4 linked regions of the Pelodiscus sinensis genome follow. The main gene of each other region encodes a partner of the protein of the gene in region 4 in a complex. Links are inferred from orthologs where the notes say so. Each region holds a gene or a part of one and is shown on either strand. Other genes may lie near its edges. The genes, in order: LSM7, LSM4, LSM6 and SART1.

Region 1 (7,410 bases), on a different chromosome or scaffold from region 4:
TATTTAATCCTGAGCTGATGGTGTCAAACTTGCAGATGAACTGTAGCTCAGCAGTTTCTCTTTGAAGGCTGATCTTGAAGGTTTTTTGCTGCAGGATGGCTACCTTTAGATCTACTATTGTGTGTCCAGGGAGACTGAAGTGTTCTCCTACAGGTTTTTGTATACTGCCATTCCTAATATCTGATTTGTGTCCATTTATTCTTTTATGTAGGGACTGTCCAGTATGGCCGATGTATATAGCTAGATTGAATTAATCTCATAGACTCATAGACTTTAAGGTCAGAAGGGACCATTATGATCATCTAGTCTGACCCCCTGCACAGTGCAGGCCACAGAATCTCGCCCACCCCTCTTAGAATAATCCTCTCACCTATGTCTCAGATATTGAAGCCTTCAAATACTTTGAAGGCCCCAACATGCAGAGAGTCCTTCAGCTGTGATCTGTGCCCAATGCTACAGAGGAAGGCGAAAAACCTCCAGGGCCTCTGCCAATCTACCCTGGAGGAAAATTCCTTCCTGACCCCAAATATGGCAATCAGCTAAACCCTGAGCATGTGGGTAAGACTCACCAGCCAGACACCCAGAAAGTTCCCTATAATGAATGGTCAATTAGTTACCAAGATCATGTTATTTCATCCAACCATCCCCTTATCATAGAATCATAGAACTGGAAGAGACCTCAGAAGGTCGTCAAGTCCAGCCCTCCGCTCTAGGCAGGACCAATCCCATCTAAATCAACCCGGCCAGGGCTTTGTCAAGCCGAGACTTAAACACCTCTAGGGATGGAGACTCCACTACTTCCCTAGGTAACCCATTCCAATGCTTCACTACCCTCCTAGTAAAATAGTTTTTCCTAATATCCAATCTGGACCTCTCCCACCACAACTTGAGACCATTGCACCTTGTTTTGCCATCTGTCACTACTGAGAACAGCCTCTCTCCATCCTCTTTGGAACCTCCCTTCAGGAAGTTGAAGGCTGCTATCAAGTCCCCCCTCACTCTTCGCTTCTGCAGACTAAACAGACCCAAGTCCCTCAGCCTCTCCTCGTAGGTCATATGCTCCAGACCCCTAATCATTTTGGTTGCCCTCCGCTGGACCCTCTCCAATGCGTCCGCATCCTTTTTGTAGTGGGGGGCCCAGAACTGGACACAGTACTCCAGATGTGGCCTCACCAAAGCCGAATAAAGGGGAATAATGACATCTCTGGATCAGAGATTATCCTCATTATCTCTAGCCTGATTCTGGCCTGCATATTTATACCTGCCTCTGGATATTTCCACTACATGCATCTGATGAAGTGGGTCTTTGCCCACAAAAGCTTTGCCCCAATACATCTGTTAGTCTATAAGGTGCTACAGGACTCCTTGTCGCTTTTGCAGATCCAGACTAACATGGCTACCACTCTGAAAGTAGAGAGGTAGATCTCAGAGTCATCATAGAGAAAGTAGCTGAATTTGTGTTTGCAAATGAGACAATTCAGAGATAAACTGTTTTGGGAGACAAGAAAGGGACCAAAAAGACAGCCCTTTAGAAATCCTCCCTCCCCTACTGGGGGGTAGGAATGAAGATCACCCAATGGACACGAAGGAGCAATTAGAGAGGTGGAAGGAGAACCAGAAGAGCACAAGGACTTAAAAAAAACCCAAACAAACATGGTCAACTGTGCCCAAGGTAGTGGGTAAAGTTAAGGAGCAAGAGGACAGAGTACCAGATGTGAGCTTTGGCTAGGAAAAATCCATTAGAGATTTTGGAGAGAGCAATTTGGACTGAGTGGAAGGGGTGGAAGCCTGACTGGAGAGTCTTGGATTGAACTGGAGAGGAACTTCAGGCAGCAATTGCAGACAGGCATTCAATGAGCTTAGAGAGGGACAGAAGAGAAACAGAGCAGTCACTGGAGAAGCAAGTGGAGACAAGAGTGATATTTTTAAGATGGAAGAAACTGATATTTGCTTGGTGAGGCAAGAGAACCAGAAGAGAGTCAGGGGTTAAGTAGAAGAATAGGGGAGGAGGGGGGAGGGAAGTAATAAGAGTGACCAGCAGGGAGATCACAGGATGCATTGGTGTTACTGGAGTACATGGGAGGAATTTAGGAGACAAAAAGCAGTTAGGATTACAGCTGTGGGATTCATTATGTTGCCAATGAATTATGATTTGCAAACCCGCATCATTTAATTTAAAACCTACCTTCCCTACCACCTTGGAATTTTACTCGAATCGTTTTGTCAATATACTTTGAGAGATCCAAGATGCTCTCTTTCTTTTTCTTCTCTTTATCCTAAAGAAAAGGCAGAGTGACATAACTAAAAAGTAAATTGGAATCCTCTCTTGGTTCCATGTTTAATAATTAATAATACATGATTAAGCGTTAGACAGACAGTGCCAGAATGCCCTGCTTAATTACAAGCGTGGGAGTCAGCATCGCCTAGAGGTGCCTTCAAATGACGGATTAGCCAGAGAAGCTGAGCATCCCCATAAACGACCTTTGTTTGGATCTAGATGGCCCAAAGGCCTCGCAGGATGCAGCTTCATTAGCCAGGCCCGTCAAATCAAAGGTGGCTGGAGGGGCGGGGCGGGGAGGGGGTGCAGGCGGCCCCCAGGGGAACAGAGGGGGCGAGGGAGCACCCAGGCCTGGCAGAGGCACGGGGGGGGGGGGCGCACAGGAACGCTCGGGAGTCAAGGCAGGACGCCAAAAGCCCCCCCCCCCCAACCCGGGGTGCGAGAGAAGCCCCCCCGCGAACCGCACAACAGCCGGGGGGGGCCTGGCCCAGTAAAACCCGTCTCCAAGCGGAGCCCCCCCCGCACGCTCGGTCCGGGGGGGGGGGCCCGTTCCCGCTCCCCCTCCCCGCTTCCGGTCCTGAGCCAAAGGCTCGCGCCAGGGCCCCGGCGCTGACCGCCAGGCCCGAAACTCACCGCCATCTTGCGCGTGCCAAGCTCCCCCGCCCTTTTGCGCTTTCACCCCGCCACTTCCGGAGGAGGGGGGGGGGGGTCACGGCCCTGCCCTCTGATTGGCCGCTGCGCCCCCTCGCAGAGGCGGGACTTCCGGGCGGAGGGGCCGGGTTGCTGGGTAACGGGCCCTGCTCCGGGACAATAGGGGCGGCGGCGGGATGGTGGCGGCGCTGGCGAGCCGGGTCCGGCCCGGGCTGCTGTTGCTGCTGGTCAGCCAGGTGAGTCCCCCGCGGGCCTGGGCCCCGCCCCGCCCGCTCCGACGTGCCCGGCCCCGGGCCCCGCTCGGCGAGCGAGCGCGGCCTTGGAGGTGCGGGCCCGGGCCGTGCTGGGGAGAGCGCGGCCCCGCTAGTCGCTGCAGCCCGAGGGAAGCGACGTGCCCGGCAGCCGGCCGCCTGCGCTGGCATTTCCCGGGGCTGGACTCCACCGCTGCGCCCGCGCCCTAGTGCTCCCCCAGTCCGCACATGCCCCGCTAGGCCGAAGTGAAGACTCCTCCGCCCGCCGGCGTGGGGCTGGTGTTGGCCCAGACGCAGGGTTTGGGGCGGTCTTGCTGCTTTCGTTGCAAACGGACAAGAAAGGCCCCGGCTTCCCTGGGGGGCTCGTGGCTGGGAGCCCGGATCGGAAGCTGGGGCCGCTTTGGGCCCTTCTCTCAGCTGGGAGGCAGAGCCACTGCTGGGAGCCCAACAGCCTTGGCAGGGAGCTGTCAGTGGGGCTGAGAGACTGGGCTCCCAGCTCCCCACACTGCCCCTCCTAGGCTGGTGGAAGCACTCCTGATTAGGGCATATGCCACTGGCTCAAGGAGGGTGGTATGGACGTGCACCATCACTGTAAGCTGACTTGATATGTCCGTTTCGATTTGTAGTATAGGACATACCATTTAGCATTGACAAAACTGTGACTTCCTCATAGTTCCTGAAAACAGCTTTCTCTTCCCATTCATAGGAGTCTTTACCAGTATACTCTGCAGAAAAGGGGGTGTGGATCAGAATACTTAATCGTGCATAAGCGCCAAGTGGACATTTTTTCTTGATGTTATCATGTGTCCTGAAATTCTCAGTCTTTGTTAAATTTTCTAACAGGCACCAGCTTGCTTTCTCTCATGTTACCCCTCATGTTCGGAAGGACTTTCCCCAAAAAATCTGCACAACAAACTTATTATTCTCCTACAAAACCCCCTTAAAAATACTCCTTTGCTGTGGTGCCTACAAAAAATAAACTTGCCAATGGTTATGTTGCTGATGTGTTGAGACCACTGCTTAGGTAACTAGTGGTGTCCCCTAGGGGTGTGTCCTGGGACCAATCCTATTCAACTTATTTATACATGATCTGGAGAAAAGGATTAACAGTGAGGTGGGAAATCTTGAGCAATTTAGTATCATCTGCAAGTTAATTAAGACCAAAGCAGACTGTGAAGAGCTTCAAAAAGATCTCACCAAACTAAGTGTCTGGGCAACAAAATGGCACATGAAATTTAATGTTGATGAATGTAAAGTAATGCACATTGGAAAAAATAATCCCAAATATACGTATAATATGTTGGGGACTAATTTAGCTACAGCTACTCAAGAGAAAGATCTTGGAGTCATTGTAGATAGTTCTCTAGAAACATCCACGCAATGTGCAGTAGCAGTCAAAAAAGCAAACAGGATGTTAGGAATCATTAAAAAAGGGATAGAGAATAAGACAGAGAATATGTTATTGCCCTTATATAAATCCACGGTATGCCCACATCTTGAATACTGCATATGGATGTGGTCACCTCATCTCAAAAAAGATATCCTGGCATTGGAAGAGGTTCAGAAAAGGGGGAAAAAAAGATTAGGGGTTTGGAATGGGTCCCATATGAAGAGAGATTAAAGAGACTTGGACTTTTCAGCTTAGGAAAGAGGAGACTAAAGGGGGTTATTATAGAGGTCTATGAAATCATGCCTGGTGTGGAAAAAGTAAATAAGGAAAAGTTATTTAATTGTTCCTATTATAGAAGAACTAGGGGTCACCAAATGAAATTAATAGGTAGCAGGTTTAAAACAACAAAAGGAAGTTTTTCTTTACTCAGTGCACAATCAACCTGTGGAACTCCTTGCCAGAGGATTTTGTGAAGATTAGGACTTTAATGGGGTTCAAACAAGAGCTCAGTAAGTTCATGGAGGTTAGGTCCATCAATGGCTATGAGCCAAGATGAGTAGGAAAGGTGTCCCTAGCCTCTATCTGGAAATGGATGACAGGAGAGGGATCGTGTGATGATCACCTGTTGTGTTTACTCCTGGAGCATCTGGCATTGGCCACTGTCTGCAGACAGGATACCAGGCTAGATGGATCTTTGGTCTGACCCAGTATGGCTGGTCTTATGTTCTTATTTTATTTTCTCTGTTTTCTTGTATTCACCTACCACCTGTCTGTAACCATTTGTTGTCTCTTGTCTTGTACTCAGACAAGTCTGGGCAAAATAGAGCCTGCAGGTGCTGCGGGGAGCCTGAGGCAGGCTTCCCGCTTATAGAATCATAGAGCTGGAAGAGACCTCAGAGGTCATCGAGTCCAACCCCCTGCCCAAAGCAGGACTAAATCAACCCAGCCAGGGATTTGTCAAGTTGAGACTTAAAAACCTCTAGGGATAGAGATTCCACCACCTCCCTAGATAACCCATTCCAGTGCTTCACAGCCCTCCTAGTGAAATAGTCTTCCCTAATATCCAACCTAGACCTCTCCCACTGTAACTTGAGACCATTGCTCCTTGTTCTGCCATCTGTCACTACTGAGAACAGCATCTCTCCATCCGCTTTGGAACCTCCATTCAGGAAGTTGAAGTCTGCTATCAAATCTCCTCTCACTCTTCTCTTCTGCAGCCCAAACAAACCCAAATCCCTCAGTCTCTCCTCATAGGTCGTGCACTCTAGCCCCCTAATCATTTTGGTCACTCTCTGCTAGACCTTCTCCAGTGCGTCCACATCCTTTCTATAGTGGGGGGAGGAATAGCTGAGTGTTTTGAGCCTTGGCCTGCTAAACCCGTGGTTGTGAGTTTAATCCTTGAGGGGGACATTTAGGGATCTGGGACAAATCTGTCAGGGATGGTACTTGGTCCTGCCATGAGGGTAGGGGATTGGACTCAATGACCTCTCAAGATCCCTTCCAGTTCTGTGAGAGAGGATGGCAGATGGATGACTCAGTCCCTCTTAGGAGGGAGTCCCCAACCACCACCACCCATCTTTTTCTTTTGCCTCACCTCACCCGCATGTTGCTCAGAAATACGGCTGTGGGGTGATTTTACTTTAAAACCTGAGCCCGGAGGGGGAAGGATTTAGGAACTGCTTTCGCCCCCAGTGCAATCCTATTGACTGGCTTCTGGCCTGTATTTCCCCTCAGTGGTCCAGCAAGTACCCATTCTCAAGCATCCAGCTCCCCAGCTGTTGCCTTTCTCGGTAGAGATCCTTGTTTCTCTCTCCTTTGTGACTGGAATATTTCCAGGCTGCTTAGTTTCTTGTCTTCCCTGTGTATTTTCTAGGACAGACAGGTGTGCTCAAGGACAAGTGTAATTGCAACAAATGTTACCCTCCACCACGCTACCCGTGCAAGCCTACTTTAGTCCTAAGGTGAAAAGCATTCTAGAGAGAACATTTAAAAATAACAGAACTAGGGATGTTAAATTGCATTGAATCTACTAGTCGATAAGGGGGGAAACTGCAGAACTAACCCTGTTGTTGGCTCTGTCTTTTAAATGTATTAAGACCCACCAGACTTGTCCCTGGTCCCACGCTGTGCCTCTGCCTCCCCTGCTCCCTGCAGAGATGGTGCTGGGGAAAACCAGCTATTAAGCCGACTTCCCCCCGGCTCCTGCTCCCCATCCTTGCTGCCTCTGATAGAGGCAGCGGTGTGGGGGAGTAACTAATCAAGTCACTACTTGACTATACAATACGCTTATGCTTACATCCCTAAACAGAATCCACGTGCATGCTATTGAACTTAACAGAATAACCTGCAATTCTAACATGGATTCTGGCAGGAACAATCCTTCAAACTCACACTCAAGAAATTCCTGGTGGTTGCAACTTCAGTTCCAAACAAGCACCCAGTCCTCCTAACACTTTCCCTCTGATGCACTGCTAACTGAGGAAAAGCCTATTCTTGCTTATAGACCACCCCCCAACCTGAAACGAATTCTTTCCGGTCACTATGCTACACAACCACATCATAATTATCCAGGAACCCAGCCCTGCAATCAGCCGTGGTGCCAACTCTGCCCACGTATCTATACAAGCAATTCATCACTGGAGCCAACAACATAAGCTACCAAATCACAGGCTCATTTAACTGCACATCCAGTAATTTGATCTATGCCATTAAATGCCAGCAGTGCCCCACTGCTATATATATTGGACAAACTGGATAGTCCCTATGGGAAAGAATCAATGGACACAAATCAGATATATGTAGAGGGAACATACAGAAACCTGTTGGAGGTTTCAATCTAC
Region 2 (7,095 bases), on a different chromosome or scaffold from region 4:
GTTGAAGTGCTGAGCTGAGTACCAAAAATGGAGTTCACCACATGGCCTCTTTATACATCCTTCCTGGTCTCTTCTTGGCTGCAGCAGGTCACCTGGCCAGTGGCCCATCCCTGTGTTCCCTGCTGGCAGCCCTTCGGTGTCAGCCCTCATTCTTTAGGTGTGTCCTTGGCCCATTGAGTGCCATTGTCCCACAGGGCCTCGCTAATTAGCATGTCCATAGGCCGGGCTCTGCCCAATGCTCAACCACATGCAGAGAAATATTCAGTATCCACACAGATTACAGATTCCTAACAACACACAGACATTATACAATCACATGACTAGCGTACATAGGATTAGCAGACAGTAAGCTTCTATTCAACACCCCACATGGGCCCCTTTTATACCATTTTTGGGGCCAACATCCCCACCTATGGGTGCAGCAGTGATCTGGCTGCTTCCCTCAAATTCAGTAACGTGACATAGGGGAAACTTACACCTGGTCTGGTTTGCTAAATCTCTTTGAAAGGAAGAAAGTAGTTCTCTTCCCTTATAGGCTGGTGGGAAGGAAGGGAACATCTGTGTCAGTGAGTCAGAACCCATTTAATCATTTAACTACAGGCTCAACACCTGAAAACCAGGTGGGAGATGTGTTTTGGGTGAACCATCCTGTTGGCTTCTGGGAAGTGGGTGGGCACAAACTTGCCATGGCTAAAGGACTCTCCTCTAGCCTAACAGGGAGGATACAGTGAGCCTGGGACTCAGTTAAATATGGGGGACAACAAAATTAAAAACAAGGTCAGTCATGGAGGGTCAAAGGTAGGGAACCTGGAGATACCAAGCAGAGAACCCTGGCCAGCACCACTTCCCTTTTAACCTATTAAGGGAGTCAGCAGCTGCCATCCGGAAGAATTCTGCCTGGAAACGTGTGCAGAGAGTGGATTGGAAATGAGCCGCACTATAGCAAAGAATCCCTTCAGCTAACATCCTCTTTCTGGTGTTCTAGATGGCCACTTTGACTATCACCAGGAGGTGGTTGATAAGGAGGTTCCACCATTTTGTAGAGTGATGCAGAGGGGGTGCATATGTGAGAAGGTTGGGGTAGAAATACAGCCAAAAATGCAAAAGTATTGCATAAGCAGGAAAAGGGGGTGCAGCCTGGCATGCTCAAGGTAGGTATGTGCCAGGGTCTCTCTCACTACATGGGGGATGGATAAACTATAGCTAGTTATAGAAGCCTAGCCATGAGTATAATAAAATAAACCGCAATTGAGATGTGGTTTAGTGCAATAATGGCATTTCATGATGACTAGTTTTGCCAGCAAAGTCTAGTTCTTGCCAAAGTCCTCTGTAATCTTTCTTGGTTGCTACAGTGAAAGTTTCATGATGGAGCAGTGGTAAACGTAATGTAACTTTGGCTAACCATGGAATGTCCCCTAGCCCCCTGATCAGTTTGCTTCAATGTTGGGTGTATTCCACAAGACTTTGATTCATAATATTTTTAAATAACAAGAACATTTGCCTTTTTATAAATGTTGCAGGTACTGAGCATTCTTAACTCCCATTAACTCAGCATTTTGCTTTATTAGGCTTTTAATATGCAACAGGAAAATCCACTTGTTTTCTTAATCAGATATTTGGCGTTTATCCATGAGTATTTATTAAGCTATAGTATAAACCTTTACAATTCCTTACTTGAAAGGAGACTTCCACTATACTGTTGTTAATTCTGAAGATGGACAATGTATCAGTTTCCATTTTACAAGTTTCCCAGATCACCTGCCCAACAAATACATATTTAAGGTGATGTAGTCTGTAGAAGTTTTTCAATTGTGACTCTTAGTTGGACATCATATTTTCCCAATTAAGTCTGTTTTGGTGAAGAGAAGAGGCCGTTAAATACTGAAGAATAATACAATAAGAAAAATAATATTTACTATATTTCATCCTTCATTTGACAGCATCTGTATTTTAATATATAGTCTTATAATTTCACACCTATTTAAGATGGTTAGACATTATAACATAACAGGTTGGTCTTGGGAACCACTGAGAGTGTCAAATCAGGGTGAATTGCTCAGAACCAGAAGTCTTCCCTATAAGGCACCAAACCAGTCACACAGATCACTTCAGCTGCCACTCTAGCCAGCAAGAAGTCTCACAAGCAACCCTGACATTCCAGCTTTACCTGTGCACCAGCCACCGCTACTTTATGCAGGTGAGAGATTAAACCCGATTTCATCAACTCCAAATAGGTTCTCCCAGTCCCAAAGAACCATCCACAATCCCAGGTCAATTTATACCTCAGATCTTACCCAAAAGAACACACTAGGTTTTCTTTAGAAAGTAAAATCTAAAGGTTTATTCATAAAAGAAAGGAAAGGTTGAGAGTAGGATTGTTAAAGCAAATACATTACATACATCAATCACCAAGTTCTTGATGCAGGCTCTTAGCAGAGATGTAACAAGCTGTCAGCTTAAAAGTCTCTGGAGAACATCCTATGTTATGATGGGTTCATGAATCCTTCCAAGCCCTCTGTCCTTGGCAAAAGTGCTCCTGGAGCAGAGAGCAGGAGTGAAGACAAGACGGAGGCACTCTCAAGATACTTTTATAACCTTGCCCATGAAGAGGGAACATCCATTGTTCTCCTGGCTGCTGGTTCTTCACAAGAAGTCTTCTGTTCCAACACTTTACTATAAATTTCCTTGCGCAAGAACGCGCATGCAGTGTAGACGCTCCACAAGTCTTTGCACAAGAACAGCCGTTCTTGAGCAAGAAGCCTGCAGTGTAGACGTAGCCAGGATGTATATGTATCTCTCAAAGAATTAAAGGGATGCTGTGCCTAGTTTTCACTGGTCCCTTTGCCATGGTTTTGGGGTAGAATTATTGACTTATTCATTAACCTAATCTAATGGTTTAAAACAAAAGAGAAACAGCCACTGGGGGGCATTGTTACTCTCCAATAGTTTCTGGATTTCTAGATTGTGAACCTGCTACTAAAATGCAGTGCTGTACGCATGGCTAATGTTCAAGGGAATGCGAGGAGAGGCAAGAGGAAGGCTGGACACTAGGAAGTTTAGGCCTCTGTTCTGCAATGAGCTCTGTGTAAGTGGGCTTGTACACCTGCTCAGAGCCCAGTTGCTAGCAGTGTTGTACTGCAAATGCGAGCATAGACTATATCTAGACTACTGAGTTTTTCCAGTGTACCAGAGGAACGTGTCTGCTTTTGGCGGAAGAGCAGACATGCTTTTGCGGAAGCCTGGTCTTCCTCATGCCACGAGGAAGAAGGGCTTTTCTGAAAGAGGAGGTTTTTCCGAAATTTGGCCCAGTGAAGACGGGCCAAATATCAGAAAAGCCTCTTCCGACAAATTTATTGGGAAAAGGGAGGCAAATTGCGGAGTACAATTTGTGCACCTTTTCCCAATAAAAAGCAGCAGTCTAGACATAACTATAGGCAGGACTGGAAGGACGAAAAGAAAAGAAGCACGAGATCAGAGGGAGAGAGGATTGACGTTTCTCATGGCTGCCAGAGATGGTTCATCACCATCACAGAGGAGCTACGGTTGACTGTCACAATTTTAACTGCTGTGTTGTTTCCAGCCGGGTTGCCAGGTGTCCGCTTTTGAACCGGACAGTCCAGTATTTGAGCGTTCAGTTTGGGAACCCAATTGAGACACTAGAAATGAGGAAATAGAAGTGTCCGGTATTTCCTAAATGAGATGCCATGTAGATTGGGATGGAATGTCAAGCGTGTCCCGTATTGTTTGACTTTCCATCTCCAAGCAGGGCTGGGCAATGAGGGGCTTAGACAAGGGGGGCAGCCAGGGATCTGTGCACAGCATGGGGCGAGCAGCAGGCCAATGGGCGCTGGCCTGAGCCTGACCAGTTTACTGGGGGGGACAGGGGGGTCTCAGAACAGCCAGGGAAGGGGGGGCTGCAAGAGGAGCTGTGCAGGGCACGTAGAGTCCAACAGAGGGCCATGGATAACAATGGGAGGGGGGCTCCTGGGAGCGCTGCAGGGGGATTGTGGGTAATGCAGCCTCCTAGGGGGCGCTGCGGGGCATTGTGTGGAACGCAGGCTCCAGGGCGGGGAGGATTGTGGGTAACGGGGGACGCCGCGCGCCGTTCTCTCTGTCGCGCCCGCCGGCCGCGTTTTACGGCACTGCCGTAAAACGGCGGCTGTCGCTTGGCGGCGGTGGCGGAAGGCGGGAGCCCGGCCCGGAGCAGCTCGGCAGGGGCGGTGCGCGTGGCGGGGCCCGCGGGGCCGCAGGCGGACGGGAGCCGAGCGGGAAGATGGTGAGTCGGTGGGGCGCGGGCCTTTCCATGCTACCGTAATGCACCTAAGAGCACGTGCGGCGCCCAGCCCGCGGATCCCGCTGCGGGCACTACCGTAATACGCCGAATAGCGCGCGCCGCCCCTCGCCTCGCTCCCTGACACGTGCGGAGCCGAGCACTGGGCAGCGCAGCGTGGGGGGGGGGGGGGGCGCCTTGCAGGTGGGGGCTGCTCCAGCTTTGCAGGTGGGGGCTGCCGGTGGTGTGGGGGGGCCTCCTCCCGCCCTGCCGTGGGGCGGGGAGCCGCTCCCTCCCCTTAATGCAATGGTTCCCAAACTTCGGCATCACGCCCCCTTTTTGATTTTTGAGAAACGCTCATGCCCCCATTCCCCCTCCCCCCCCAAATAGCAGCAAAACTTGTTGAGCAAAAAAAAAAAAAAAGTAAGAGGAACTGACCGGGGGGGGGGGCAAAAAAAACAAAAATAGCAGCACAACTTGGGGGAGGGGGGATTTCTTCACGCCCCCTGGTTTGGGATCCTATGCCTTAATGGGTGAACTGGCTGAATAATTACATTGCATTTCCCCTCCCTAGTTCCTGCTGGGTTTTGTCAGCGCTCAGTCTAATCTGAATGGCAGCAGCTCCTGGGCTGTATTCCCTGGGGAAGTGGCTCCGAAATGCAGTTGCCCTGTGTTTGGTAAATCTGTGGCTGAAATAATGCTTGTCTGCAAATAAGATACAGGACTATGTAGCACTTTAAAGACTAACAAGATGGTTTATTAGATGATGAGCTTTCGTGGGCCAGACCCACTTCCTCAGATCAAATAGTGGAAGAAAATAGTCACAACCCTATATACCAAAGGATACAATTTAAAAAAAATGAACACACATGAAAAGGACAAGTCACATTACAGAACAGAAGGAGGATGGGGGGGGGGGGGGGGGAAGGAAGGTGAATGCCAGTGAGTTAATGATATTAGAGGTGGGGAAAGGAAGATGTCTGTGAGTTAATAGTATTAGAGGTGATAATTGGGGAAGCTATATTTGTAATGTGTAAGATAGTTGGAGTCTTCATTACAAAGATAGCTTCCCCAATTATCACCTCTAATACTATTAACTCACAGACATCTTCCTTTCCCCACCTCTAATATCATTAACTCACTGGCATTCACCTTCCTTCCCCCCCCACATCCCTCTTCTGTTCTGTAATGTGACTTGTCCTTTTCATGTGTGTTCATTTTTTTTAAAATTGTATCCTTTGGTATATATGGTTGTGACTATTTTCTTCCACTATTTGATCTGAGGAAGTGGGTCTGGCCCACGAAAGCTCATCATCTAATAAACCATCTTGTTAGTCTTTAAAGTGCTACATAGGCCTGTATTTTGTTTCAGCTACACCAGACTAACACGGCTACATTTCTATCACTGTCTGCAAATAGGCTGCCTTTATCCTTTGTTCTGCTGACTTTTCTCAGGCTTATCCTTTATTTACTTTCACTCTAGCTTCCCTTGTCACTGTTGAAGACTGCCCAGAACCATCCGATGGTGAGTAACAAGGATATTTCCTGCCAGTACTGCTTGCAATCAGCGTCAGACACTTTGGGTTGTTGGGGTAGCTGCAGTCTCTTAAAAAACCACAAGGAATCCCGAGACACCTTAGGGACTAACAGATGTATCAGGGCATACGCTTTCATGGGTAAAATCCACTTCTTCAGATGAATTGAGTGGAAGTTACAGAATCATAGAACTGGAAGAGACCTCAGAAGGTCATCAAGTCTAGCCCCCGGCTCTAGGCAGGACCAATTCCAACTAAATCAACCTGGCCAGGGCTTTGTCAAGCCGAGACTTAAACACCTCTAGGGATGGAGACTCCACTACTTCCCTAGGGAACCCATTCCAGTGCTTCACCACCCTCCTAGTGAAATAGTTTTTCCAAATATCCAACCTGGACCTCTCCCACCACAGCTTCAGACCATTGCTCCTTGTTCTGTCATCTGTCACTACTGAGAACAGCCTCTCTCCATCCTCTTTGGAACCTCCCTTCAGGAAGTTGAAGGCTGCTATCAAATCCCCCCTCACTCTTTGCTTCTGCAGACTAAACAGACCCAAGTCCCTCAGCCTCTCCTCATAAGTCATATGCTCCAGCCCCCTTATCATTTTGGTTGCCCTCCGCTGGACCCTCTCTAATGCGTCCACATCATTTTGTAGTGGGGGGCCCAGAACTGGACACAATACTCCAGCTGCGGCCTCACCAAAGCCGAATAAAGGGGAATGATGACATCTCTGGATCTGCTGGCAATGCTCCTCCTAATGCAACCTAATATGCCATTAGCCTCCTTGGCTACAAGGGCACACGGTTGACTCATATCTAGCTTCTCAGCCACTGTAACCCCCAGGTCCTTTTCTGCAGAACTACTACTTAACCGGTTGGTCCCCAGCTTGTAACTATGCTTGGGATTCTTCCGTCCCAAGTGCAGGACTCTACACTTGTCCTTGTTGAACCTCATCAGATTTCTTGTGGCCCAATCCTCCAATTTGTCTAAGTCATTCTGTACCCTATCTCTGCCCTTAAGCGTATCTACCTCTCCCCCCAGCTTAGTGTCATCTGCAAACTTGCTGAGTGCAATCCATCCCCTCATCCAGATCATTAATAAAGATATTGAACAAAACCGGTCCTAGAACCGAACCTTGAAGCAGGGGTGTCTATATAAGGAAGAAGCTGCTTGTGTTAATGAAGCTAATTTAAATCAGGGTGCAAGTGGATCATTCACAGCATTTGGTGTGGAAATGTGACTATCCAGAGAGGGGAAATGGTCTTTGTAATGTGTTAACCGGTTGAGATCCT
Region 3 (7,703 bases), on a different chromosome or scaffold from region 4:
TTCTGTAACTTTCCATAAAATATTAATTAATATTCTCCTAGTAATGGGGGGCAGAGCATTGTAAACCCAATGGGAGAGTTAACTGGAAATCCAAAATTCCAAAAGAAATGCAGAGGTGACCACGAGCTCAGTTCCCAGCTTCAGATGTTGCGATCCCTTGCACTGCATTTCACCACCACTCAAGTTTGGCCCAGCCACACTTCTATAGAGGAGTAAGGATGCACAAAATCTGAGTGGTAATGTAACACCATGTACAGATCACAATTCCTGGAGCAGGAAGCCAGGCCCAGAACCACATGAAATGAAGCACCCCTGCATGGTCAGTGTAAAGTAGGCTTGCTTTCCACAGACCACCCATCTATAGTCTCCCAGTCTCTTCTTTCCGTAAATTTTTTCCTTGTACCTCTGCCGCAAAAAAATATTAAAAACATACGTGACAAAATCATAGCTCTACTGGTAAGACCCTGCATAAACTACCACATCCACTTCCAGACACCTCAAAACTGGAAAAATGTTGATAAATCAGAGACAACTTAGACAAGAGCAGCAAAGTGAGTGAAAGGCCAGAGACACTGAATTAACTATTAAAAACAACAAAGCCGTCTTATGGTACCTTAGAGACTAACAAATTTATTAGGTCATGAGTTTTTGTGGGTAAAACCCACTTCATCATGAAAGCTCACGACCTAAAATGCCACAGGACTGCTCGTTGTTTTTACTGTTACAGATTAACATGGCTACCCCTCTGAATTAAGTATATAGTTTGGCTAAATTATGATTGAGGAATATAACACTCTACAAGAAGTCTTGAGTGTAAAAAGCAGAAGGAAGTTTTTGCTTATGGTTGTTCTAAGAGATATAACTAGTAACTACAGGATGAAATAAGGAAAATGGAAAGTGATTTGGCTTAGGAACAATCTTTAGATGTGTGTATTGGTCAGCATCAAACAAACCTTTTGTGATATATAAATAAGATAAAGATCAAACTAAGCTTGTTGCTATTATACAGTGTTATCTAAAGTATCACAAAGGAAGCAGCAAAGAACCCACAGATTAAGAGATTTTAAATGTTTCTGAGAATATTGCCTAGGAAACAATTTTGCATTAGATCAGTGGTCTTCAAACTTTTTGGCTCATAGCCTACCCCGCTCAATGAAAATCTTTTTGTATACCACCAGCCAACCACTCATGATGACAAAATGCCTATGTTTATTTCTAAATACTTTAAATACTAAATTATTCATATTAGGCTATTGGAGCTATAGCATAAGTGGCCCCCAATCCTTATTGATGTGGCCCCCAACTAAGACACCTCACTTCCCAGGTGCTCCAGCCCCCGGGGGGCGGAGGGGGGAAGGCAGGGAGGACCAAGGTTCAGAGCTCCCCACTCTCCAGAATAACTATTCTAGCGTTAGTAGATTTTGTGAGTCCTCCTAGGCCCTGGGATGGGGCCAAAAATGACAGGTCCACTGTGTGGGAAGGAGCTGCGAAGGAGAGGGATGGGGATGCAGGAGGAGATGAGGGGCTCAGTGAGAGGTAGGGTGCAGGTGCAGGCTGGAGACAGGGTCATCTGGAGGGTGCAGGAACAAGGATGAGTGCAGTGTCCGGCCAGGAGGGAGGGTTCATGAGAACCACTGCATCAGATTAACAGTCACAGGTACTGGGTTAGGTTTTCGTCTCCGGTTGAGGATATTCCCGATCAGCAATGGCGCTGCAGATTTTAATGGGACTTCCCGCATTGTCACTTCTAGCAGGAGTTACACTGACTGTAGGCGCAGCGTGTAGACAAACCCCAGCCAAAGCCCATGTGCAAACATCCCGGCCGCAGGCTGGCACCGCGACAGCTAAGAACCAGATGCCCACAGAGCCGCCTCCGCGGGGCCTTCAGCCGAGGGGCGAGTCCCGGCTCCACTGCCCGCCCTGCTCGGGGGGGGGGGGGGGCGGCAGCGGGGCTGTGCCAAGCCAAACGCCGCCACCAGACACAGCGGCACCTCGGCAGCGCCGCGCTTCGGACGCGGGGCCGCTGCCCAATCAGCGCCGGCTCCGCTCCCGGGCTCGCAGCCTCCCACCCCCCTCGCGGAGACCTGACTCCCAACCCCCGCGGCTGCGCGGCCACCCTGGGGCAGGGCCCGGGGCGGAGCCGCACTCGCCTCGCGGCAGCCGGCAACCCCCCCCCCGGGACAGGAGAGCCGCTCCCCGGCTGCGCGTGACGCCCGAGCGGACACAGGGCCCCTGGCTGGCCCGAGCTCCGGCGCGCCCACCTCGTTCGCTCACCCGCGCCCTGTCCGCTGGCGGCCCCTCAATCGGCCAGGTCCCGAGCGCGGGACGGGCAGCGCTCCCAGCCAATCAACGCCCGCTCCCGGACTTCCGGCTCCGCTACGGTCAGCCGGCTGAGCCAAAACACCCAGCAGACGGAGCGCGCGCTTGGCCAGGGGCTGGGGAACGGTGCCTCCTCGGGGCTGGCGGGTGTTTTACCCGTCGGCCTCCCCTGCCAAGTCCCTGCGGCAGCGCCCCGCCCGCGTCCTAGCGGGAACCCAGCCCGGGGTGTCCCACGTGCTCGGTGCTGGCGCCTGGGCTGCGGTGAGATGCGCAGGGGGCACGTGACGTAGGCTCAGGCGCTGCGAGACTAGGGCTCCTCTGCGCCCCCCCCCCCTGCCCTGGGCGCCTCCTAGCGGGGAGGAGCAGCGGCAGCGGGGAGGGGGCAGGGCCCCGCCCCCTCTCTGTGGCCCCGCCCCTGCAGGCTGCGGGAGGCCGCAGACGGCGCCGCCTGCCAGGGGCGGGGTCCCGGGGCAGCCCCGCTGGTTTGCCCGCTGCCTGGGCCTCTTGCCCCAGCAAATGGGGGGTCCGCGGCTCCGCACAGCTGCCTGCGCAGCACTAACCCGCCGTGGCTCCGGCTGAGCGCGGGGCCTTGGAGCCACAGGCCGGCCGCCGTCAGAACCGCGACTCCTCCATTCGCCCTGGCCCGAGGGCAGGGAGGTCACCCGCACTAAGCCTGCCTCGAGCGGGCAGACATCGGCTGGGGGCACGTGACCCCCGTGTCCTCCTCTCCTGCATCGCCTTTGTCTCCTGGATCCTAGTGACAGGGCCACATGATCAGTCCCTCCTAGCACAGGTCTGGTGTTCTGACATTCTGGCTGCTTGTGTGTCCTATATGTTTTGTTGCAATACACTTAATTGTAGAGTAGGGTTACCATAGTTGAACTTTCCAAAAAGAGGACACTCCTGAGGGACAGTGCATCAGTATCTACCAAGTCCCTATATTAATACAACGTGTAACAGTGAGTATAGAAAAGAAAAAAGTGAAAAGCAAATTCCAAATCCATTACCTCACGAGTCCTTTCTGATGTCCCTCCTCCCCCCCCCCCCCCCCGCCTGTTTAATCTTGGGATCCACACAAGAGGTCATTCTACTACTTTAATTCTCTAGTTATGAATTCCACAAAACTTAGTTTATGACTTGCAAGGCAGGGACTATGAAGCGATCCTTCCCAGGTCAAAAGGAAAACAATGGAAATTCCAAGTTTAGATTTTTGTGGAAGGCTTCTTTTTCAGCCCCTTTCAATCCTCTCTGAATTTGGATGTAAACTTTGTGTTAGTCTCGTGTTCCTTTTTAGCAGTCCAAGGAAATTAGCAATCTGGCAAATAATGGTTTTCCTCAATTAGGTGGAACTCAGTTCCTCTAGGGCAGGGTTCCCCAATCTACTGGTTGCGACCCAAATATGGGTCACCATTACATTTCAAACGGGTCGCCAAGTGTCTCCCCAGGTGGCTCTGCCTCCCTTCATCCCTTCGTTTTTGAATTGCCTTGGGTCACCACGTCTTCCTGAATTATCAAAATGGGTCCCCATCTGGAAAAGTTTGGGAACCGCTGCTCTAGGGCATTTCCCCTTTGTTTATGCAGTATCCATAAGGTGGAAACAAACATCCAAAACATCCTTTCATTCTAAATGCCATACAGAAGAATCTTCAGGCAAAAAAAGTAAAATGAGGAAGCAATAGCAGCAAAACTTTCTTCAGTCACCCAGGAAAATAATCACTACATCAGATTCTACAAGGAGAGGGGGTTGTTACTGATTTTCGGAAGGAGGGCCAGTTAAGTGACTTGGTACATAGGTTGTTAGGGCTGTTAAAGCCCGGATCCGGGTTTTGGAACAGATACAGTCAAATTTGGGAGAACATGGGTTTAAGGATTATTTGGTATTTAAGGAGAGAGGAAGGAAGTCTGGATTAGAGGAAATGCTGAATGGAATCAGGCTGAAGGAAGGCATGGGGGACTAGCTGGGCCAGTCTGAGGTGGACTTGAAGAGCAATGTTTGGAAAGGGGCTTTTGGGGGTAGATTCAAAGAGAAGTGGACTGGAAGAATGCAGGAATCGGGACAGGTGAGTTGAGGGGATGTCAGAAGGGATCAGTCACGTGTAGGGAGGGGTCGGGCCTGAGGGCAGTCAGGAAAAGTGAGGTGTCAGTAGTTGGGAGGGTCAGATTATGAGTAAGGGTTTGGGATGTCTGCTCATGGTGGCTGCGGTGACTAATGAGGAGTTGGGTGTGTCAGGGGCGAAGCCAGGATCACTCGGGGAGGGTCATGCAGAGGGGCCAGGTCAGATGGGGAGCACGGGGCTCAGGGAAGCGGGGTCCATGGCAGGGGAGAAGTCCTGTGGAAGGGAACTCCAGGGGGGGTTCCTGCTTCCCCCTCACTCCCCAAGGCGGGTTCCTCTGCGGGGCTCTGGGCTCCCAGCTCAATGGCAACACTCAGGGCAGGAGGTGTTTGAAAAAGAATGAGCAAGGCAAAATCCCGGACATTTTTAGATATTTAAAAAACACGGCCAGATGGAGATTTAAGGACCAAAAAGGAGGACATGTCCAGGAAAAACCAGATATATGGTAACCCTATTTTAGAGCTACCTGAAAAGTTCTCCTTGGCCTTCTCTTTTCCAACAATAATATCATTTAAAGGGTTAATAGTCCAAACTTTCAAATACACCGACTCTTTGGTCTTGTTTCTCTCTAAGAACCAGTCAAGTCTATGAAGAAGGAGTAGTGGCATATTACATGGTATGAATGCCATTCAGCCATGCTCTAACTCAGTGGTTTTCAAACTTTTTTTTCTCATGACCCAGTTGAAGAAAATTTTTGATGTTTGTGATCCAACATAATTATATCTTTTGACTAGAATGTGCGCTCTGGGAGTGGGGGGAGGGGGGGGCAGGGCCGGAATGAGGGATCTGGGATGCATGAGGGGGGCTCCTGGTTCAGGGAAGCCTCAGAGTTGGGACAGGGGGTTGATGCTCATGGTGAGGCATGGGCTTACCTCCAGCAGCTCCTAGACAGCGGCACAGTGGAGATGCTAAGGCAAGCTTCCTGCCTCTCCTGGCACTGCAGACCACGCATTGCCCCGGAAGCCACCATCAACAGGTCTGGTTCCTAGGCAGAGGCACACAAGCAACTCTGAAAATGACCAGTGGGAGTGTGGAACCAGTGCTCAGGGTGGGGGAGTGCATGAAGCCTCTCCCCATTCCTGCTAGGAGACACACCTGCTGCTGGCTGCTTGATGATCCACAATGCCAGGTCAGGCAGGAACACTAATCACTGGGTTACCCACCACAGCATGGTGACTCAGTGCCTGACATTGTGTGACCCAGTATAGGATCTTAATCCATAGTTTAAAAACCACTGCTCTCACTTATTGCACACACTTGTTTATAGCTGGTACTGAAAACTAACCCTCTATTTGCATGACACATTTGACAGTGCATAATATGAACTTTACTAGCATATAACAATTCCACTTGTGTTTATTTTCAGTATTTTGTAAGTGATTGCTATGCCTAGGAAACATTTTTGATTGACAACAATGGTAATTTGTTTCCTCTCTTCATATAATGTGTACAGCCGCATGCAAGTTTCCTCATATCAAGTCTCCAAATGTTCCTCAAGCTTCTCTTGGAGGGACCATCCATAAATTCTTGCAGAATAGAATCTAGGGGTGATAGTGGACCACAAGCTAATTATGAGTCAAAAGTGTAACTTTGTTGCATAAAAAGCAAACATAATTCTGGGATGCATTAACAGGAGTGTTGTGAGCAAGACACAAGAAGTAATTCTTCTACTCTACTCTGCACTGATTAGGCCTCAACTGGAATATTGTGTCTGGTTTTGGGCACCATCTTTCGGGAAAGACATGTATAAATTGGAGAAGGTCCAGGGAAGAGCAATAAAACCATTAAAGGTCCACAAAACATGACCTATGAGGGAAGTCTGAAATAATTTGGTTTGTTTAGTTCAGAAAAGACAAGACACTGTAACAGCTTTCAAGTACCTAAATGTGTTACAAGGAGGAGGGAGAAAAAATATTCCCCTAAAACATCTGATGATAGGACAAGAAACTTAAATGACAGCAAGGTTTAGGTTGGACATTAGGAAAAACTTGCTAGCTGTCAGGGTGGTTAAGCACTTGGAATACATTGCTTAGAGATGTTGTGAAATCTTCATCACTGGAGATATTTAAGAGCAGGTTGGCAGGACGAAGCACCATGTAGATCAGGGATCCCCCAACCTTTTGGGGCTGCCAGGCACCCAGGGGCGGGGCCACTCATGCCGGGCACCCATTAGCCACATCCCCTGACCCCCATTAGCCACGCCTCTGGGGGTAATACTTTTGGGGCAATTTGGACACATGACCAGAAATAAAAGGTGTTGTGTGACCTCCCTCCCCCACAAGGACTTTTCCCACCATCCTCTTACCAATAGGGATTAGTTTGGCCCTCACCACCCCACCCCACCCCACCCCACCCTCCATGCAACTAGACTGCAATTCCTTTAACCCAATGTGTGTGACATTAACTTGGGGGGTGGAGAGGCTGGGGAAAGTGTCCCCTCTAAGAGTTTCCTCCCATGAGCACAATAAATTGTGCACCAGTACTGAGTTTGTGGCTTGTTTGGATGTACCACTGAGGCACCCAAGTTATTAATAAGTATCTTATAAACCTCTGTCCTTTCCTCTCCTGCCATATCTCCTCCCCTTGCTCCATCAGCTCCCCTGGTGCCTGCTGCCCCCCCCCCAACCCCTCACCCACTTCTGCTGTTCTGACTCCTGCCCTTCTCACTGACCTCAGCCTTCCTGAGACCTACCCCCCTCTACCAGCCCTTCTCTCCCCCCTGTGCCCACTCCTCCAGTAGCCCCACGCTGATCATGTGAGCTACCCCTCCTCATCCCCTCTCCTAACACCTCCCACTACACACCTGCCCTACCTCTCTCCTCTGGTGCTGGTCCCTCCCCTGCAGGTGTCTGCCTTTCTGCTTCACCCCCAGCATCCCCTGGCACCTGCACTTTCCCTTACCCCTGTACCCCTCTGTGCCTCCCCCTTCCCTCTCTGCCCCTGCCCCCTTTTTCCCTGATGCCCACCCTCTCACCACCCTCTGCCCCCAATTCCCTCATTCCCCTGTGCCCTCACACATGCCTTGCTCCATCCCTGCCTTCCTCATGCCCACCCCTTCTTTCAAGCCTTCTCCCGGCACCTCCCCTTCTCCCCTGTAGCCCCCCAAAGCCCTTCCCCTCTCCTCTCCTAGCATCATCCTGTCCCTCCTCTCACTAACACTTCCCCTCCTGCCCTTTTCCTCATTGTCTCCCCTTGGCCCCCTGGCATTTGTCTCTCTCCTCCACTCTGTCCCTTGGTGCCTTCTCCTTTCTTCTCCTGACCATCCCCGCT
Region 4 (7,620 bases):
TCCCCCAAGCTGGCCTTTGAGCTAGCAGCTGTTTAGAGATAAATCAGAGAGATGTTTGTAAACAAGATAAAAGTAAAATGTATTCAAACAAGGATTTTGTTAAAGCCAGAAGGGTTCACTCTAGGGATGTTAGCTATCCTGCAATTAAATAGTCACGTAACGGCATGAAATGTTAGTGATTACATGACTATTCAACAGTCCCCAGGGTTGGGGCCAGCAGCCAGTGCACTCCCAGACCCACTCCCAGGGAGGCCTCTGCCATCCCAAGGTCTTGCTTCTGTACCAGCTCCTCTTGTGAACCAGCTGCCTGCTGCCCTAATGCAGAGGCAGCAGTGTGGGGCAGCAGCATCCCTGCCCATGGGGAGTCCAAGCTCCTCACAGACAGAAGCTGCTCTGTGGGATGGATCCCCTGCAGACGGGCTGCTTCCGCAAAGCAACCTTTGCCCGTGGCAGGTCCAGGCTCACCACAGACAGAGGCTGCTCCATGGGATGTGGAACAGCCTCTGTTCACCGGGAGCTCAGCCTGCCAGAAACAGAGGCTGCTTTGAGGAAGCCTCCCCTGCCCCACCCCCTGCGCTGCTGCCTCTGATAAGCGGGGCGGGGGGGGGGGGGGGACTTGCTGGCTCCTCCCAGCACTGGCTCCTGCCTGCCCTACTTCCCCCTACCTCTGTAGGAGGCAAGTACATAGAGCCGATAGGTGCAGGGAGCTGGCTGGAAAGCTGGCTCCCTATGCACATCAGCTCTAGCCCACCCCACCTCACTGCTGCCTCTATCAGCTCCCGCTCTGTATCAGCTCCTTAGATACAGAGGCAGCAAGGGGGAGGGGAAAATGTGTGCAGTTGACAGGATTAACCAATAAGTCTAGGCTTATCGGTTAATCATATAGTTGACTATACGTTGACATCCCTAGTCCACTCTGATCAACTAGTGTGACCTCCTGCATAGCATTTACCAAAGACCCCACCCAGCTCAGACATATACACTTTTTATAATGAACAATGCTGTGAAGACAGACACACTTTACAGTAACCTGAAAATTCAGCATGTCTCCTATAGTACTGCCCATTACCTGGAATAAAGATCCCCACAGAGGGAACCAAGCTGTTATTCTGTTGAATAGCTTGCACTATTCTGGAGCATCAAAGGTCAGTGGCTAGATACCATGACAACAGAATATGGTACCGTAAAACAGGATGTACTAAACCGATACTGCCAGAAAAAAGGTCTATCCAAATCATAGGTCATTACAGTTATTGCTTAGAGTTATGGATTAAGACACCTTTTCAGGGCACTTTATACATAGATGCTCCATAACCAACCAAAGAAGCCCCTTTACATTAGGGCTGTGTCTACACTGGCATGAATTTCCAGAACTGCTTAAAACGGAATACTATTCCGTTTTCAGTTTTTCCAGAAAAGGAGCGTCTACATTGGCAGGCTGCTTTTCCAGAAAAGCCCTTTTTCCAGAAAAGCGTCTGTGGCCAATGTAGACGCGCTTTTCCGGAAAAGAGCCCCAATCGCCATTTTCGCGATCGGGGCTTTTTTCTGGAAAAGACTACTGGGCTGTCTACACTGGCCCTTTTCTGGAACAGTGTTCCGGAATAAGGACTTATGCCCGTGCGGGAACAGAATAGTTTTTCCGGAATAGCAGCTGATTTTTTACAGTAGAGCGTCGTTGCTTTTCTGGAAATTCAAGGGCCAGTGTAGACAGCTCGCAGCTTATTCCGGAAAAGCGGCTGATTTTCCGGAATAAGCGGCCCAGTGTAGACACAGCCTTGACGTGTCCTGACTTCATCTGCTCCAAAATCCTTTCATAACCCATTTATGAAAAGTTACACGTATGTGCATGTTCACACTCCTTGCTTTACTCTTTCACTCCTCTTCCTTCTGCAAACTCACCTCACCACCCCTTAAGTCAGCAAGTCTACATTTTCCCTAAACCTCATGCCCCACCTCCACCAGGACAGCCCCTGATGACTCCTCCTCCTCCATCTCATGAAACTTCACATGCCCAACACTAAACCATCACAGATTAGAATGCCTCATCAATACCCCCCAACGAAGTCATGCCCCCTGCCCTCCTAAAGCTCATGCCTCAGTGTCACGACATAGGGTGCACATGCACTGATCCCCCACCTATCCCATTCCCAAAACGTGACCTCCATAACATCTCCCCAGCAGCCAGTCCCCGCCATAAAACCTCACAGCCAATCCAAACTCTCATAGCCACCTTCACACCTCCAGACACTTGCCATCCCAGAGCACCTCTCGCCAAGCCTACTACTCTACTCATTCCTGAGCTCATTACCACACCAATCCCCTCCCTGGGCCGCAGAGCCTTGACCATAACGCTTCTTCAAGCCCCATAGTCACACGCCAATCTTTAACTCCCATAATCGCCTGCTGAACCCGAGAGCACCCCCACGCAAATTCCTCTCTCTCGGACACTCACTGACAGCCCATCCTCTCTCGGCCATCAATAGCCCCTCAATGGCTGCCTCCTCCTCTACCCCACACTTCTTCCCTTTGGGCCCTTTCCCAGAATCCCGGTGTCCTCCCCTCAAAAGCGTCTCAATCTCTCGGGCTGCTCGTCCCATAGCCTCCCCATTCCCCTGCCCGGACGCTGACCCGCCTCGTATCCCTCGTCGCGCTTCTCCCGCTTGATCCGCCGGGGACCCTCGGCTTCCTGGGCACCCCTGTCCCCGGCCCGGCCATGGCTGCCACGGGCCGCCTCCTCTCCCCCGCTCCGCCGGCTGCTCCGCTCCCCGCGGCTCCGGCTGCGCTTCCCGCGCCGCTCGCCCGACGCGCCGCTGCGGTGCTTGTGCTTCTTGTGCTCCCGGTGCCGGGAGGAGGAAGAGGAGGCAGCAGGGGGCGGCGGCGGTGGCGGCGGCTGCTGCTCCTCAGAGCCCCCGGTCTCTCCCCGCTCCCGGTGCTTCTTCGAGGAGCCCATGGAGACGCAAAATGGCACCGACGCAACACGAAACTTCCGGGATCGGCGCTACAGTGCTTCCGGGTCATTACATGCTCGTCCAGGCTCATTGCGCACGAATTCCGGATAATTTATGGGTTACTTCCTGTTTATATGTACGTCACTTCTCGTTTGTTGCTACTTCCTGTTCAGACCTGTCTAATGCCCGTATACTTGTACGTCACTTCCTGTTTACAAGGCTATTACCTCCGTGTCAAGAGGGTGTGTTTCCTGTTTGGCTGAAGTTGTCCCCTAGTTCGTCTTTGCCCCCAGGCAACTGGGATGTGCAGTTACCAGTGGAGGGGGAGGACACATATTTCTCTACCTCGTTACATCACGCGGGGCGGACGCTCTGTGGCTCTAGCTGCCCTTGGCAGACATTGCAGGGTGTGGCAGGCATCCCAGTGTCAAAGAATTTTTAAAACCCCAATAAATAAAGGCCTTTAGCTCCCATGGAGTCCAGGCTAAGGATGTTAAGGACTAGTTGACTCTCTGATAAGCAAATGCCTATCAGATAGTCCAGTCGACTAGTTAATTCCCTCCCCCTCCCCTTGACAGAGGCAGCAAAGGGGGGGAGGAAGAAAGGGGTGGACACTTCAAAGTGACAATGCTGCACAGGGCTCATACATGGGCTCTGTGCGGTGCTGCTCTGTCAAAGGGGCAGCACTGCACAGCTGATCCCAAGCTCACCTGTGCGGCACTGCACCTTTGAAACGCCACATCGTTTTAAAGCAGTGTCGCACACAGCTGCCCCGGGGCTCCATGCAGTACTGCCCCTTTGAAGCACCATGGTGGCATTTGCATGAAGCTCGGGGTCAGCCAGAGGGGCATGCCTCTGCATGGCATTTCAAAGAGGTGGCGCAGCATGGAGTCTGAGGTCAGTGGTGGACTCTGAAGCTGCGTCTACACTACCAAGTTCTAACAGCAAAAGATATTCAAATTGCACTTTTCTTCCCACTTTTCTTCAGAAAGAGGCTTTTCTGAAAATTGGCCCGTCTACAGCAGGCCAAATGTCAGGAAAAAAGCCTCTTTTGGAACATCCCTTCTTCCTCACAGAACCAGGTTTACAGGGATGCCAAAAAATGCATCTGCTTTTCTGAAATTTTTTTTTAAAAGCAGATGCATTGCTTGGATGCAGCAGAGCTTTTCTGGGATACCTCTGGTATCCCAGAAAAACTCTGCCCTCTAGGCGTACCGCTGAGTCTGCCGCTGACCTTAGGCTCCATGCAGGTGCTTCTGCTTTGAAATGCACAAAAGCCTCCACTGGGGACTTTTGCGCATTTTTAAAGCTGATATCCTTGTGCAGCCCAGAGTCAGCGGGACTTCCTGCTGTCCCCAGGCTGCACACAGAGTACCCCAGCAGGGGCTCTTGTACATTTCAAAGGAGGAATGTGGAAGTGCCTATCAACTAGTGGAGTATTCAATGAAAATTCCATCCACTACTCAACTAGTAAATTACTTGATATTTAACATCCTTAGTCCAGGCCCAACCATCTCATCCATCTCATGATTTATAATAGTTCTGTGAGGCCTTTGAACTCTGTACAGCTAGCTACTTAACTGTATTGTTTAGTAAGCCCAGCACATCCAAACAAATCTATGACAATGCTGTTGCAAGGAAAGAATTTAACATGGCTTGGGAAAACCCGTTCTTGTTTATAGAAGGAAAAGAGTCTAAATCTATAGGGTTACTGTGTGACACTATAGCCCTATGAAAAAAGTTTGATTTTGAGTGGCATTTGGCATAAATCTATGTAGCCATGAACACAAAATATCCCACTGGATTGCTTTGCAGGAAGAGCTAGTGCTCCACTGGAATGTTCATTGGCTGTCAAAGGGAAAGGATCACAAAAAAATCTGAGATATGGAAAGCCAGTGCTAACTTTTTTGGAAAAGAGGGATAAACTCAATGACAATGACAATGACAAACTTACTGAAGACAAAGACTAGATAAGTGACTTGGATTTCCTCATCAATATTGTGTTTCATCTTAACATATGTACAAGAGAAGGATTTGCCTTTTGCTACACTGTGACTCTTCACTGTTTGAGAAAATTTTAGGATTGATAACTCTACTATGGATCTCTTTACTAATCCTGTCACTGTTTTGTGCACCGATGTTGATAATTATCTTCCAGATTTATAGTTAGAAATTCTTGAACTAAAATATTATTTCTGGACTTGGGAATAAATTAAAAGGATTGTGTATATCTCCAGTAAACCAAGATCTGATTGTGATGGGTTAGATTACAGACGTCCCTTTGAGGTTGTCCCCTAGTGTGCTGATCATGTCAATAATGCCCACTTTCCTGCCTTCTGGGGCTCTTCACCACCCTGTCTTGCTTGACCAGAAGCTCTGGTTTCCCCCAAAAAAGGCACAGAATTGGGGTTCCTGCCCCACCCTGCAGAGCAAAACTGACACTGAACTAATTTAGCTCTGGGAAGAGTCAGTTATAAGGGCTTAGCACCAAGAAAACCAACCCCCAAAAGGAACCAAAACCCCAAACAAATTCGTCTTCCCCTGTGTAAAAGTTTTACACAGAGAAAACTTGTAAAGATGCCCGCCCACTTTATCAATGAAAGAGAGATATGAATATAGTTGCAATCCCCCAGGTAACAGTTATTTACACTGGGCTTGGTAATAAACGTAGATGTTTTTAATTAAGTACAAATAGTAAGATTTAAATGGTTGCAAGTGAAAACAGATCAAAGTTAGTTACAAAGTTAAAATAAAAAAAAACCCAGCTAATTCTGATATACTAAGAAATGTGTTGCATGTGAATTCTTACCCTAAAACAATTGATCTAAACATTTCTTTCACAAGCTAAGCAGCCTGCTATTATGGGCCCAATCCTTTCCCCCTGTTCAGTCCTAGATATTTCCAGCGGGCATCTTAGGTAATTGCTGAGTCTCCTGGCATCTGGCAACTGCCCTATTCTTTGCCCTGGCCCATATTCCTTTTGCCCAAGGCAGGAATTCTTTGTGCTCAATTCAAACTTTTCTCACCTTAAGTGGAAAAGTACCAGATCCAAAATGGGTTTCAGCCTCAAGTGTCCTGGCCACATATCTGTCTAGGATCAACCATAGTTTGGACTCACAGGACAAACAAGGCTATTCACAGATCGTTAGTTTGAGAGCTGAGTCATTACGTTTCCAGAGCATCAGTAATGATCCTTTTTAACACATTTAGAATTAACAGATCCACATACAAGAATGATACAAACCCAAAAATAGGATATACAATTTCAGCGGATTACAAACTTTAAAATTACATGTCACATTATTTATTTTGCATAAAACATCTTTGAGTAGGGTTACCAGATGGTTTAAAAAAAATACCAGACATACTTGATCTCAGATCGGGGGGAGGGACCGTCTGAGAGGGGAGCGGGGGTGGCCGGGAAGGGGGGAATGGGAGGATTGGGAACCGGCTGCCGGGGAGTGGGGCTGGCCCAGGCACACGCAGATCCCAGGGTGCTGCCCATCCTGCGCACAGTCTCGGCGGGTCACACGGGCAAGTCTGGCCCTGGGGATTCCATCCCACCCCTGCCCCCCTCCTCTCTACTGCATAGTTGCGTTCTGCATGAGTATGTCTACCAGCTAGGCAGTATGCAACTACGTACTGATACTCATGATAATAATAAGAACATAATTAGAAAATACCAGACATTTATATGTCCAATATTTTCTCAATTTGTTTCCCGGACAGAAAGTGAAATACTGGACTGTCTGGTTCAAAACTGGACACCTGGCAACCCTATCTTTGAGTTATGTATTCTCATAAGCAAATTTTCATAAAGTATGGTGGCGGGAGAGACTGTGACACTGATACCATTCTGAAAATTTTTCCTAAAGGAGATTTTTCTCAGATAGATGATCTTGCCCTTTGAGATGATGGTAAACTTGGATTGGTGTATATTTACCAGACAGTCATTTTCAGAGAGAAAGTTTATTAAAAGGAAATATCATCCCAAATTCACTTATTCCCAATTCAATAACTTCAATGACTCCAGTACATCAGTGAAGCTGTACACAGGGATTGATAACATTGTGGACAAGAAGGGACATTCAGAAACCCCTTTATATTGCTGCCACCACACCCAGATCATGCTCAGTTTTATTCTGAATTAATTCTGTTATAGGAAATACCATAATTAAGTGTCATTTTTTTAGAGTAGAGGTTTTCAACCTTTTTTCATTTGTGGACTTCTAAACATTTTCAAATGCAGCCACAGACCCTTTTGGCAATCTTAGACACACTCTGAGGACCCCAGGGACCCACATATCACAGGTTGAAAAGTCAGTGTTTTAGACACTTTAATAATACTAATACTAATACTAATACTAATACTAATACTAAAGTGACATTTTGGTAATAAGTTCATATTGTGCCAAACTTATTGTTGAGGTCCTGCCTTCGTAACAGGGGAACATGCTATTGTACTTGGGGGGTTAGTTATATAATTTCTTCTTCACACCACAACAGAGGTGGGGAATAATTTGAATGACATACCCCTTCTCTTCTTTATAAATAGATCTATACACAAAGGGTATGTCTGCACTTGCCCCCTACTTCGAAGTAGGGAGGCAAATGAAGCACACCGAAGTTGCAAATCAAGCCCGGGATTTAAATATCCCGCGCTTGATTTGCA

Evidence for each region.
Region 1: SART1 (region 4) and LSM7 share a complex: the UniProt entries of both Homo sapiens proteins name them as parts of the U4/U6-U5 tri-snRNP complex. The link is inferred for Pelodiscus sinensis from reciprocal best matches to the Homo sapiens genes SART1 and LSM7.
Region 2: SART1 (region 4) and LSM4 share a complex: the UniProt entries of both Homo sapiens proteins name them as parts of the U4/U6-U5 tri-snRNP complex. The link is inferred for Pelodiscus sinensis from reciprocal best matches to the Homo sapiens genes SART1 and LSM4.
Region 3: SART1 (region 4) and LSM6 share a complex: the UniProt entries of both Homo sapiens proteins name them as parts of the U4/U6-U5 tri-snRNP complex. The link is inferred for Pelodiscus sinensis from reciprocal best matches to the Homo sapiens genes SART1 and LSM6.

Annotation. Positions count from the first base shown.
Region 1 is NC_134729.1:26,010,762-26,018,171, forward strand, and holds the start of LSM7 (U6 snRNA-associated Sm-like protein LSm7), read right to left. Parts: upstream 3,007-7,410; 5' UTR 2,918-3,006; coding exon 2,912-2,917; intron 2,277-2,911; coding exon 2,186-2,276; intron 1-2,185. Other genes in the region: SPPL2B (signal peptide peptidase-like 2B), read left to right, coding at 3,106-3,165. UniProt on the Homo sapiens protein: Plays a role in pre-mRNA splicing as component of the U4/U6-U5 tri-snRNP complex that is involved in spliceosome assembly, and as component of the precatalytic spliceosome (spliceosome B complex).
Region 2 is NC_134729.1:20,046,364-20,053,458, forward strand, and holds the start of LSM4 (U6 snRNA-associated Sm-like protein LSm4), read left to right. Parts: upstream 1-4,093; 5' UTR 4,094-4,273; coding exon 4,274-4,276; intron 4,277-5,753; coding exon 5,754-5,795; intron 5,796-7,095. UniProt on the Homo sapiens protein: Plays a role in pre-mRNA splicing as component of the U4/U6-U5 tri-snRNP complex that is involved in spliceosome assembly, and as component of the precatalytic spliceosome (spliceosome B complex).
Region 3 is NC_134715.1:51,640,591-51,648,293, reverse strand, and holds the start of LSM6 (U6 snRNA-associated Sm-like protein LSm6), read right to left. Parts: upstream 3,013-7,703; 5' UTR 2,880-3,012; intron 2,647-2,879; exon of another isoform or gene 2,262-2,646; intron 1-2,261. UniProt on the Homo sapiens protein: Plays a role in pre-mRNA splicing as component of the U4/U6-U5 tri-snRNP complex that is involved in spliceosome assembly, and as component of the precatalytic spliceosome (spliceosome B complex).
Region 4 is NC_134721.1:33,049,078-33,056,697, forward strand, and holds the start of SART1 (U4/U6.U5 tri-snRNP-associated protein 1), read right to left. Parts: upstream 3,013-7,620; 5' UTR 2,951-3,012; coding exon 2,629-2,950; intron 29-2,628; coding exon 1-28. UniProt on the Homo sapiens protein: Plays a role in mRNA splicing as a component of the U4/U6-U5 tri-snRNP, one of the building blocks of the spliceosome. May also bind to DNA.